Drosophila melanogaster: one gene and its partner. Changing the gene in region 1 together with any one later gene gives a genetic interaction. Each region holds a gene or a part of one and is shown in the gene's direction. Other genes may lie near its edges.

Region 1 (7,675 bases):
CACAAAAGAAAAAGAAATAATTCGCAGAAAAATAGTTAACGCGCGTGATGGTGTGCGTGTGTGTGTGACGCGTTCGTGTGTGAGAAGCAAAGCCAAGGAAAATGCAACGGAAGTTTTCAGTCGCAAAGAAAAAAGACGAAAAATCGCAAAACGGAACTGAAACATATTGTGAAATTCGAGCGACAGAGAAAGCGATACATCAACGTGGTTTCTGGAGCTTCTAGGTTTTTCTACCACCAGGAATCAAAGAACGTGAAAGAACTCTTAAAAGAGATGGCCGGAAAGAAGAACGAGGTTTATTTTTAGCATTTTGATATCACAAGGCAGCTTTTTTCGCTACACTACGAGAAAAAAATGACGCAAATGGTGACCACATGATTCTACATATTTCCATATAACCAACCCATACAGACGTAGCTTTTTTTGGGGAACTTTTTGTCGCTCAAATATTAATTTTAGATTTTTTTAACCCAGACAAAGCTCATTGTGCGCATGTGTGAGTGCATTATCGAATTTTTAGTAGGAACTTCAATTTTTTTTCGTTATTTCGTTGCTCAGGGGTTAAGGGCAACAACAAAAAACGATGGCTTGGCTAGGAAAAAGCATGTGCTGCATTTTTGCTGAATAAAAAAAGAGAAGAGCGAGGAGACACCCACACAGCATACACATACAAACAGACACATACACATACAAATGCGAAGACAGTCGGTTTTTGAGGTTAGGAATGCCCCACCCAAGCAATGGCTGCTCATTTATGTACTGCACATATATACAAATATATATATATATATATATAAATCCGTCTGTACCGCAGAAATTCGCCATTATTCACAGTCCAAAGCTGTTCGCGATCGCAGGTTTATGAGGCGTGTTGTAAAAAAAGAAGCCAGTCGAAAAGGTAGTTAAAAAATACTTTTGCAAAAATTTAAATACCCACACAGCTTTGAGAGAATTCGCGAATGTATAGAAGGCACGTGTGTGTCTCAGCTGAATTGTGTGCCTATGTACGAGAGTGTATGTGTGATCACGCACGTATATGCGGTTAGTAACAGTAGGAGAGAAAGAGAACGCGAGAGAGAGAGCTTAAAACGCCGGTTCTTTTTTTTTCCCATTTTTATGCTCACTTTTATTGCGTCTTCTTTGGCTTTCATTTCCTTTGCTTGTCTCTTTACAGCGTTTCAAATATAGAATATCAAGGGTCTGCCGAACGAAACGCAAGGAAAAGAGAATTTGCTGAATGAAATGTAATAATTCGCTGACGGATGACGTCACGTCCTATGTGGTCATTAGCACTCCAGTGGCGCAACCAGGGGGCCAATACTACGCTCCGAAATAGTTGGTAAAACCTTTGACAATCAAACCAAATTAATTCACAATTTTCAGCACTTGAAGAATGGAAGACAACAAAGTGAAAAAACCCGCAAGTTGAATCTAGATACGCCCCTGGTTCCAGTTTTCTGCTCTCATATGACTAATTTTGGCATTGTTATTGCATAAAATTCGCATGGCGTCATCATCATCAACGCGTACAACTACCAAGCTCGCAAAGATCGTTAACCCCAAAGCGACGGAGACCTAATACCAGGCACAAGGTCGACTCCCGTGACCCCCTCCCCAGAAGGGGGTCGCCATTCGCTGATGCAGTTTTGTTGCCATGCGGCGGCCAAACATCTGTCTCAGAACTGCAAATGCTGAAAAAAAAACCTGACTGGGCTTGGCTTGGACTGGCCTGGCTCTTCATCTTCAACTCCAGCCACCACAGTTCCTACTCGTTATATGTGATGATGTTCCCCCGACTGTAAAGTCTCCTACCTTGCGCGCTAATCAGTGACCGGGGCTGGTTTTTTATATACAGTCAGGTACCTGAAGTAGCGCGCGTGGTGGCAGACATATATCTCCATCTTCACCATATAAATAAGCGAAATGCTCGCAGGCGAGTCCTCGCCAGAAATCCCATGTGTATCAACTGTCTCCCATGTCTATTGTACTTCATCAGGTGCTCTGGTGTGTCTCGTAACCCGGCACATGTTGAAGTACACTCAATATGAGGCGATTTGCATACGAAAGCGACCGATACAAGTGTTCAACAAATTGCCTAATTTAAAGATGAGTAAAATATAAAAGTACTCTTTTTATTAAGTTTTTCTTAAAAATAAAATTATGGCTTCTTAAAACTGTGTTACTTTACTTTAATTGGAATCATATCTTTCACAAAGGGAACAACAAAAAATGATTATTGTTATAATCATTATATTTAATTTAATGAAACGAAAAAACATCTGTTAATGTGACTAGAAAAAATTTCAATAATATATTGTCTGATTTATTCAGTCGTCCAGTTTTGTATTTTTTTCCATGCGAGCTCCTCAAATTTCCAAACAGGTTGTGGGCTTTGGTATAAAAATAGATTGTTTATGCTCCGGAATAAATAATAACAAACCGTCCATCATCTATAATGACATTTTATTTGCGTATATAATTTCAGAGAATATTCTACATAAGAAAGTATTAATTGAATGAACTACATATACATATTTAGATAGACAAAAACATTCTTAAAATATGAGCTATTTATATATAAGCATTTTCGTAATTAGTGAATAGTGTGCATGGTGCATAACAAACTATCGAATGTCTACAAGCACGAGTAAAGTGTGACCAGACGCCTCACCGCACTCATTCCCATGCACCATTTTGTAAAAAAGCCAAATTTCCAATTGGAAAATTAAAACATCTTTTTAATATCGTTGCTTTAAAAAAAATCAATTGAATTTAAAACGGAAATGAAAATAAGAATTCAGCAAAAGATTTCGAGGTAACTAACAACAACTTCATAAATTGCTGGGTCATATGAAAAAATATCACAAAGGAGAATCTCCTTTCAAAACACTGTGATACCTCTGTCAAACATTTCGTGTACGTTTTTTGAAAATAAATTCGCTGAACCGCTAAAAAAAGTGATGGTATGTTTCGGTATATTGAATACCGCTTGCACATTTTTTGGCGTTCCGTCTGCGTTCACACTGACCTCCGTAAGGTTATCGGCATAATTTTGTAAATTTTCGACTTTGCCGTTTTTCGACTCGATTCGTTAGTCAAAATTCCGAAAGACGCGCCGCCGTTAGATCCACTTCATCAACGCGCGTTGCCACAACAGGACTTGGATTAGGATTCCCCAGGCAGACCAACGATAAAGGACGAATATGCTGCGCTCCCTTGCAACAACACGAAACGAACTTGGGGCCCTTCGCTCCGTGCTCCTGCGATCGAATAACGCCACCTATGTCCGCCGATCGACGGGAAATGTGGTTGTGCGCGCCCTCAGCAGCCAGCTGATCAACTCCCGGAAACTCCAGAGCATCAGGTAAAAATCTCCCAATTTCCCCAATTCTCCCCGCTTTCGTTGAGGTTAGAAATGGTTGTGTAATATTGCAAAATGCGTATACTGCAGCGGGATTATGTGGGACCTGTGGGGGGCGATGATTGACAGTCCCGTGTCCAACTATTTAGCATATATGTCGTATTCCCCAAAAACACTCTCACACATACCCATGCGATTTGCGTGTGTTGTGCGTGCTCCACTGCTGATTTGGTTTATGGCCAAGGTCGAATACACGCTCTCCTATATCGCATGATGCGTGATAGTGTTTCGGCTGGCTGATAAGCTAGAAAATTCCGTCTAATGATTTAATGGGTCACTCTTTTTGGGTTCCATTGTTTACATCTGACGAGTGGGCGATTGAACGCCTAAATGTGTAGATAGTACAGGAGTGTGGGTACGTAAACAACAACAAACTAACAGCTGATCGAGCGTCCATAAATTAACCCATCCAAAATGCTTTCATTAACATGGTCATTTTGTAATTATAACAGGTCATACAAAATGTACACCGTTACGAATCAGAAGGAAAAATAGTTTCCAAGGATTCTGTATACCCATATTGCAAGTAATACACCTATACTATTTATTCAATATTATGTTTTCTAATAGTGGATACAACCCAATGCAACCAACTTTAATAAACTAGTTTTGTTTGAATATCGCGCAGGTCGAAACTTAACACTAGCCAGTCACCGGTCACATGGAGCTACAACTTCGCCCGTGCCTATGCCAACCTTCCGGAACACATCAGGGTGCCACTGCCCGCACTTTCCCCGACTATGGAGCGCGGATCGATTGTCAGCTGGGAGAAGAAGGAGGGCGATAAGCTCAACGAAGGTACGTGTGATAGTTACCAAAATATCCGAGTTTCAGGATCAAATTTATGACACCCTGATTGCAGGTGACTTGCTGTGCGAGATTGAGACGGATAAGGCCACCATGGGCTTTGAGACGCCCGAGGAGGGCTTTCTGGCTAAGATTCTCATCCAGGGCGGCACCAAGGACGTTCCCGTTGGCCAGCTGCTGTGCATTATCGTGCCGGACCAAGGCAGCGTAGCTGCTTTCGCGAACTTCAAGGACGACGGTGCCGCCGCAGCACCAGCTGCTCCGGCAGCAGCTCCAGCTCCAGCACCGGCAGCAGCAGCAGCTCCGCCACCACCACCACCACCCGCCGCAGCTCCAGCAGCCGCTGCGCCTCCACCAGCTCCCGCCGCTGCTCCAGCTGCAGCAGGTACGGGCCGTGTATATGCCAGTCCCATGGCCAAGCGACTAGCCGAGGCACAACAGCTGCGTCTACAAGGTTGTTTAATCCTAACTAATGCCTCTCTTACACACATCCTGTTCCATTTCGCAATGCATGCATCACCTGACTAACATCCATCATAATCATTCGTTACAGATAACAAAACCTCCCATATACACTATCCAACCGTACAGCTTTTCATATAGCGCCCTTTGTCCAATTGTTCCGTTACTAATCCGCGGCTTTTGTGTGCAGGCAAGGGCAGTGGAGTCCATGGCTCAATTAAATCTGGTGATCTTGCAGGCCAGAAAGCAGCAGCCAAGCCAGCTGCTGCGGCACCTGCCAAGGCCCCCAGGGCAGCTGGAGCGCGCTACGAGGACATTCCGGTGACCAACATGCGCGCAGTGATTGCCAAACGTCTGCTGGAGTCCAAGACACAACTGCCTCACTACTACGTCACCGTGCAATGCCAAGTGGATAAGGTGGGTTATCACGAACAGATATACTTCTTAATTCAAATTTAATTTAAATGAAATTTTTACAGCTGCTGAAGTTCCGCGCGAAGGTGAACAAGAAGTACGAGAAGCAGGGTGCCCGCGTCTCTGTAAACGACTTCATTATCAAGGCCGTGGCCATTGCCAGTCTTAAGGTTCCCGAAGCGAACTCCGCCTGGATGGACACAGTAATTCGCAAGTACGACGACGTCGATGTTTCGGTTGCTGTCTCCACAGACAAGGGTCTGATTACCCCGATTGTTTTCAATGCCGACCGCAAGGGTGTCCTGGAGATCTCTAAGGATGTCAAGGCGCTGGCAGCCAAGGCGCGCGACAACAAACTTCAGCCCCACGAATTCCAGGGTGGCACCATCTCGGTTTCTAATCTGGGCATGTTCGGTATGGGAAATACAGTTATATAAAGCCTGGTCCAAATTTGGTAATTAATATGTTATCCTACCACAGGTGTGAACCAGTTTGCCGCTGTCATCAACCCTCCTCAATCGTGCATCCTTGCCATTGGCACCACAACGAAACAGTTGGTTGCTGATCCCGACAGTCTCAAGGGGTAAGTTTCAAATAAGGAGAATAGTACACTAACTAATATAATCTTTTTTTCTATGCAGCTTCAAGGAGGTCAACATGCTGACGGTCACCCTGAGTGCTGATCATCGTGTTGTGGATGGTGCTGTTGCTGCCAGGTGGCTGCAGCACTTCCGCGACTACATGGAGGATCCTTCCAATATGGTATTGTAAGCGGACAGAAACGACCCATCACATTTAGAGACTCCAACGAAAACAAAAAAAGGATAACAAATTTAGCATCCTCTCTTTAAGCGAGGAGTTTCAATCGACATGCAATATGTGGATATGTGGTTTCTAATCGGTGTCACATATGTAAAGTTTTAAATTGGATTTAACTCATCGGTCGCCTATATATATATATATATAGAAATTAAATTGTGTAATTATTGATGTAGTTATTGATGGTCACCGTCGTTGCCATGATTGTAGAAGAGTACACAAAATACTTGAATGATATTCGAATTAACCCACTCACCGAGCTGTAAATTTCCGTTTGATATGCAAAACGTTTTTTATGCTTTGTTCGCATATGTTGATCATGATCGAGTATGAAAATGGAAGTAGTTGAAAGTCCAAAGACGCGTTAAATAAACCCAAAACACTCACATGAACTAGCCAATTCTTAAATAAAATTGACTTTTATTTTAATTATAGTGTGTTTCAGCCTAAATTCAAACCACGATGCCTCCAAATTTAAAACATTATCTGATGGGTGTTGCATATATCAACTTTTAAGCTTTCTAGACAGTAGCTAGAGTAACAAAACTCTATTCAGCTCAAATTTAATGCTCTCAACACCCAGTCGAAAAATAATATACATTGCTTTTCCGTGGTTTATAGTATTATGTAACTAGTTTATTGCCAAAATGTTACGAACTAAGCAAACACATATTGAAAGTATTTACAAGCATAAAGTTAAGCTAATGTCAATGTAGGATGCGAATGTCAGTGTAGTATTGAAATGGGGCCAATCACCACTGGGCAGGGCCAAGCTGGCTCCACTCCTCCACATACTGGGCCTGCTGCTCCAGAGCGGGGAACCACTCGACGCCACCGTAGTCGATCGCGGGCAGAGTACCCTTGTAGTTGGCGGGCAGGACGGAGGGGTCGAGGAACTTCTGCAACGACTTCATGTCACTGCCGTGGAAGTGCATCTGTTGGAAGAAAATTATTCAATGATATATTGTTATTAATATTCATTTAAAAGGAGGGGGAAATCAGTTATGTCTAATTAATATGGTTTATATAACTTGGTTATAATTGTAAGAATCAGGTATTTTACGTTACTGATAAGATTCATTCTTCCAATGAAGAGAAATTGTAGCCTACTTTTGAGGGCAGAAGGACAAGGTAGGAGTAAGTACACGTTTTACTTACCCTATTGTTCAGCTTTTGTTTGACGAAGGGCTTGAAGAGCGACCAAACCATGTTGAAGATGAACGGCTGCTTCACGAAGTGCACCTCCTTCATGCGAAGGGGCATCGCCTCCTGGATGAATGTGAGCAATCGCTTGGAGAAGCTCGGCGACAGGGCCTTCACCTGTTTCATCGACAGTCCCTCGAAGTCCATGATGCAGACCACGCCCCGCACCTGGGTCTCCTCCTCCAGCTGGGCGGCGAGATGTACCATGTAGAGCATGCGGAACATCTCATCGCTGGTAATATCGCTGGGATCCCAGAGTTTGCCACAGTTCACGATGAGCACACGACGACCCTTCTGGTCGCAGTTCTTGAGCACATTGATCACACTGCCCTTCACGAATTTCTCCTTAACCTGCTCGACCAGGAGTCCGCGGACCAGAGAGGCGTACTCCTTGCGGAAGCTGGCTGTGGTTTTCATCTGAAAGTCATTTTCAAATTAGTCAAGAGCTTAGCAAACTTAAATTTATGTATTTTATGTGAGGATAAAAAATTTTAGTCTAGGCAACCAACTTAATTTAGCTTATTATGCTACTCGTGTAGCTAATTGAAA
Region 2 (6,002 bases), on another chromosome or scaffold:
TTACTTCACGATGACACGATGAATACAGCTGCGGTTAAAATAATAACACTACTGCAGGTGGAAAGTTGATTTACCAAAAAAAATAATTAAATGTTTTATTTTTTTAAGTCAGATTGCATGAATAATAAGAACCATATGTTGTCTCTCTGAGCAAGAAATTTTTACTCTCTCAATGTAACGGTTCTTTTTGTTTTTGGGCACTTGCTGTGGTAACAAAAATAGCACCGATCACGTATTTGCTGAATACAATTAATAGGAGTGATTGCTTTGGGTTTTTTTTTCGACAAATTTTGAAAAAAGGAGTTGCAATAAAGGTTTTAATTGAATTTTTTCCAAACGAAGACAAAAAATTCTCTAGTCATGGGTCGCGGAAAGCATTGTACCGTCGAAAAAAGAAATTTGATTAAAAACATGATTTCTGAACGTAAAACCTACGCTGAAATTGGTCGCATTGTCGGTTGTTCAAACAAAATGATCCGCAAAGCACTGCTGTTTGTCGAAAAGAAGGAAACACGGCGAAGAGAGCCCTCAATGTCCAACGTGGAGATCAAGCGCTTGGTTTGGCAAAGCAAGAAGGAGTCTTTTAAGCCGGCGACGGAACTGAAGAAGGAGCTTCAGATAGCTGCAAGCGTGGAAACAGTTCGCAAACGCTTAAGACAAAACAACCTTAATGCGTGCAGCCCCAAAAAAGTACCGCTTTTGACTGTGAAGCATGTGGCAAAGCGAATCGAATATGCCAAGATACACAAGGACTGGCCTATGGAGAAGTGGTGCAACATTTTGTGGTCAGATGAGATCAAAATTGTGTTGTTTGGTGGGAAAGGCTCTCGGTCTTATGTTCGGCGTCCACCACGACGTCCACCACTAAATATAATCCTCGCTTCACCTTTAAGTCGGTAAAAAACGGGGGATCAAGCATCATGGTATGGGCGTGCTTTTCATGGTATGGAGTAGTTCCAATCCATTGGATTCAAAGCATCATGGATCAGCACATTTACTGTCATATGCCGAGGATGAAATGCCGTTGGTTTGGACATTTCAACAGGATAACGACCCAAAACACACGAGCAAGAAAGCTCAAAGTGGTTTGAGCAGAAGTAGATCCGAGTAATGAAATGGCCTGCTCAGTCACCCGACTTGAATCCAATCGAAAACCTTTGGGCGGACGTGAAAAAAGGGTTTCTGAAGCCAGACCCAATAATAACGAGGAATTTTGGGGTGTGGTCAAGGATTCAGGAAGCAAAATTCCTCAAAAACAGTGCCAGGACTTGGTGGAGTCCATGCCAAGACGATGTCCAGCTGTCATTACCAGCATAGGTCACGCAACCAAATATTAAGATTCTTTAAACATAGTTTTTAAGATATAATCCGTTTGTTTAAATTTTTTTAAAAATTTTTTAAAAAATTTTTTTATTTAGTTTTGGCAAACTACAAGAAACAGTGCTATTTTTGTTACCGCCTAAATTTGAAGGTTTTTTTTTGTTTTACCAATTATTTTATCCATTAGATCTGTTACTAATTTTTTTATTTCGATTGAAAATCATTGTAGTATTTAAGTTTAGTGAGTAAAATGATGAAAAAGTGTCAGAAAATACAGAAACACTGGGACAAACACGAAATCCGCTTATTATTGTTACCGCAACTGTATGCAGTATATTGGTCCCGCTCTGCCCGATCGGTCGGATATATAGCCCTTACAGTGACAGAGAACTTCCACCGAAAATACCAACATACCGATTGCGATGCAAGCCGGGTGGGAGTACTGCGACGGGATGGCAACGCCGCGCTAGTCACTCGCACGCAAAGAGCTCGCTGGAGAGAGAGAACGCTAACACAAAAGGAAATAGTAGTTTTCCGTACGTATCGAGCCCAGCCCAGAAAAGCGGAAAACTAAACGGATTCGACAGCGGTTGCAAATTTTAAATAACTGTAAGTAAGGCGGAAAAGGTGCCCGCAACGAGCATCCGCCGTATAGATCGCAACGCGTTTCAATTTGCCCAGTGAAAAGTGAATGAAAACCAAATGTCGATGACGGGCCTGCCTGCCTGTGTGTGTGTGTCATATGTGCGTGTGGTCCGTGCCGCAGTGTGCGTGTGTGATAAATAATTGCTTCCAAATTTCTTTAGTTTTTTGTCTGCAAATCTCGTCTAAAATCCGACTATAGCTAAAAACAGGGGGCAGCTCCAGCAGCTGACTGGGCGGCCAGTCCCGTGACCAAATAAACCATCATAAAGCCAGTAATAGTGCAGCAAAAACTGCATTAGACCAAGTGAACACGCACCGCACACACACAACCGCAAGCTGCCGTACTCGCTGCGCCCCTGCGCGCAAGTGTTTGCGTGTATGTGTGTCCAATCAGAATTTTCTGATGCCCGTCCGGCTTATCTGTGTGCGCCGTTGCTTTCCATTCTTTCCGTTCTTTCTTCGGCTTGAGTCATCGCTCATTCTGCCCAGATATGTACATATGTACATTGCACACACACTGCCGCCCCGCTCTCCTGGGCTCCGCTCCTCCTCGTTGATAAGGCGCCGCTGGCGAACGGTCACTCTGGCAGGAGTACGAGCAGGAGCAGGGAAGCCGCACCCACTAGTCATCCCCCCAGTGTAATCCGGCAAACTAACCCCCACTAATCCGCAGGAGTCATCACCCCTCTGCACAACATGCAAACCATCAAGTGCGTGGTCGTCGGCGACGGAGCCGTGGGTAAGACATGCCTGCTCATCTCGTATACAACCAACAAGTTCCCGTCGGAGTACGTGCCCACGGTGTTCGACAACTATGCGGTCACTGTGATGATCGGCGGTGAGCCCTACACACTGGGCCTGTTCGATACGGCCGGACAGGAGGACTACGATCGGCTGCGTCCGCTCTCCTATCCGCAGACGGATGTCTTCCTTGTCTGCTTTTCGGTGGTCAGTCCCAGTTCCTTCGAGAACGTCAAGGAGAAGGTACGTACAAGACTATTCTACGCCATGGCGAGACTGTAAGTGAGTCATTTTGCATTTGCAGTGGGTGCCCGAGATTACACACCATTGCCAAAAGACGCCGTTCCTGCTGGTGGGCACACAGATTGATTTGCGCGACGAGAACAGCACGCTGGAGAAGCTGGCCAAGAACAAGCAGAAGCCCATCACCATGGAGCAGGGCGAGAAGCTGGCCAAGGAGCTGAAGGCCGTCAAGTACGTGGAGTGCTCGGCCTTGACACAGAAGGGCCTGAAAAATGTATTCGACGAGGCCATCCTGGCCGCCCTCGAGCCACCAGAGCCCACAAAGAAAAGGAAGTGCAAATTCTTATAATTCTGCTTTCCTCACACGCGGTATCCCTTTCATTCTGGCTTTCTACTATCGCAATGACTCCTTCCCAGCCTCCCGTCGTCGAGAAGCATTCAATATATAGCCGTATATATATATATATAACATATATATATATATATGTATATATATTGGTCTTGATTTACGTTATTCTGCATTAGCCCAGTACTCCATGAGCTATTTCTCCTCGCCGCCATCCGCCTGTGTCCCCACTCCCACTCTACTCTTTTTGTCTCACACACCGTCTGTGTCTCCACTTACGCGCGTCCGCGTATCTGTGTCAGTAGTGTCCGTGCTCCAGCCTCCAGAGCTCTAATCCCTACCCGGTATTTTGGTCGGTTTCTATGTTTGGTCCACTGTGACCAGGCGGCTGGGCAGTTGCCCCCAACTCGGGACAGTCTTCCGCCCCACAAGCTTCAGCTCCAATCCCCGCCAGGATCCAATCGCAGCCAATCGAATCGAAACCCAGCCGACTTCATTTCTGCTCCCAAACATGTTTTTGGCGCAATTTTCGAATTAAGTAAAAAGAGGAACCACAATATCAATATAGCGAAAACAAATGATTTATATATAAATATATATATATATATATGTATATATATATATATTTCTTTATATATATATACAAAGATTAAGGAGAGGCAAAAAAAAAAAAAATATACATTTACGATAAACAAAAAAACAATCCAGAACAGAACAGAATGTGGGGCGATTCGAAAAGAACCATGCACTTATTCGTTTTGCCTCAGTCGATGAAATCCGCGGGAATCCACGTCGATATTGTCCCGAAAGGAGCAACGTGCGAGAATTATATTAAATATTTATGATAACTGATCGCGTAATGTTTAAACAGCGGAGGTCGGATGGAATTCGCTAGCATGCAGATATGAAAGTGAAGCTTATTATGTAATAAAACTAAGCGTATGAGTATTGAAATATGATTAAAAGTAAATTAAATGAACCTAAAGGAGGAGATAAAGGATCAGCAAGAGATGCGAGAACCGAACTAGGCGTTGCAACCACAACACAAACACACATCTGAAATCTACAATCTATATAAAAGTATATACATATATATATATATATTTAAATATGTATAATCCATAAAGTATAACAAACAATAAAACAACGGCAACAGCAACAAACATTTGTATTGTAGTTCAGCAAAAAAACAAAAACGACAAAAGATGAAAGGAAAATAAGAACTAATGCATTTTTTAATATTTTTATATGTACACATTATCAATTTTTACATTTTTTTTCTAGACCTTAGTGATTTAACATTATTGATTTCAGATAATATCTTATAATAAAACGAAATCCAAAACGAAACCACTCACTGTCTTGCCTGAAATGAAAAAAAAAAAGGGAACATCCCACCAAAGATGCACAAGCGAAAATGTACTTTTTATATGTATAAAATTACATAAATTCAATGCAATTGTGATTTTTATATAGCATTTGTGATTCATTTGTGGTTGTTTATTTCTATATCGATTCGCGTGATAAAGACCTGTCGTCATATCAGTTATTACGTTCCTGGAAAAGTGGCCAACAGGTGGAGGCAAAGCTTTTCCATTACTATAAACTATATTTTGATTATCTGGCCATGTCCTATTGTTCGTCAGCATAAACGTCGAGATCTCGGAAGCCACCAGAGCTAGCAAGGTGGCTCTTAGCAAGTAGGAACTCTGCAGCGCCAAAGAACTCACACACTCAAAAATATTATGAATATATTATTAATTTGTAAATCAGACAAACAGGATTCAACAACGAACAAGGATTCATCTGTAACTTTATGTAAGAATGTATAAAACACAACAGGGGCTAGTGATCAAACCAGTGGCTGTATCCACTTGCATTTTATGGCCGCCGCAGCGACAGCTTCCTCGTGCGACTCGGCGAATCCCGCGCTGCCCTGGATATCAATGCTGTCGTAGTCGTAGCGCGTGCTGGCCTCTTTATCCTGCAGCAGTTGCTCAACGCCGTGCCAGGCGATCATGACGCCGTTGTCGGAGCAGTACCGCTTCGATGGACGGAAGCTCCTGCAGCCATACTGCGCGGCCAGATGTTCGATGTTGGCGTATATGGCATCGTTGTTGGCCACACCGCCGGACATGACCAGTGTGGGCGGGGTGTCACCGAAGAGCTGCCTGTGCGGCAGGAGGCAGTACTCAATTGCCCGCTGCGTGCGGTGCATCAGGTGCCGGCTGACAGAGCGCAGCAGGCCGGCGCAGAAGTCGCCGTAGTTGCTGATGACTCCGTCCGGAGGTGTCCGCTCTGCCCGCTCGCGCGCTCGGATGGCCCGGAAGGAGTTGTTCTTGATGCCGGCGAAGCTGAAGTTGCAGTTCCGCTGCTGGGCAAGTGGCAGCGGAAACTCGTAGGCCAGCGGATCGCTGGCCAGCTGGGCGGCATGCTCAATGGCCCGTCCTCCGTTCCACAAGCGGTACTCCGGCAGAATGTGCAGGCGTAGTCGCCGACCGATCTTGTCAAAGGCCTCGCCGGGCGCATCATCCAGTGTTTGGCCAAGAAGCGTAAGGCGACCGGGGCCGTTAGCCACCACCAACTGACAGTGGCCGCCGCTGGCCAGCAAGCAGAGGAAGGGGTAGCCGATCTGCTCCGGATGTTCCATGCGGGCCTGCAGCGCGTGCGCCTCCATGTGGTGAACGGGCAGCAGGGGCTTCTGCAG

Evidence for each region. A genetic interaction does not mean that the proteins touch.
Region 2: of muc (region 1) and Cdc42, changing one enhances a phenotype caused by changing the other (phenotypic enhancement), as found in Drosophila melanogaster (one study listed by BioGRID).

The regions. Positions count from the first base shown.
Region 1 is NT_033779.5:7,423,998-7,431,672, forward strand, and holds muc (midline uncoordinated), read left to right. Parts: upstream 1-2,868; 5' UTR 2,869-3,203; coding exon 3,204-3,364; intron 3,365-3,730; exon of another isoform or gene 3,731-3,776; intron 3,777-3,873; exon of another isoform or gene 3,874-3,947; intron 3,948-4,049; coding exon 4,050-4,219; intron 4,220-4,283; coding exon 4,284-4,682; intron 4,683-4,880; coding exon 4,881-5,107; intron 5,108-5,169; coding exon 5,170-5,518; intron 5,519-5,584; coding exon 5,585-5,687; intron 5,688-5,745; coding exon 5,746-5,875; 3' UTR 5,876-6,332; downstream 6,333-7,675. Other genes in the region: CG5958 (uncharacterized protein), read right to left, coding at 6,676-6,858, 7,082-7,543.
Region 2 is NC_004354.4:19,695,297-19,701,298, forward strand, and holds Cdc42 (cell division cycle 42), read left to right. Parts: upstream 1-1,794; 5' UTR 1,795-1,856; exon of another isoform or gene 1,857-1,929; intron 1,930-2,638; 5' UTR 2,639-2,661; coding exon 2,662-2,949; intron 2,950-3,010; coding exon 3,011-3,298; 3' UTR 3,299-4,642; downstream 4,643-6,002. Other genes in the region: Tcs4 (Threonyl-carbamoyl synthesis 4), read right to left, coding at 5,148-6,002. UniProt on the Drosophila melanogaster protein: Regulates mbt kinase activity and is also required to recruit mbt to adherens junctions. Together with mbt and Frl, regulates photoreceptor cell morphogenesis. Together with Frl, has a role in the neuronal development of mushroom bodies.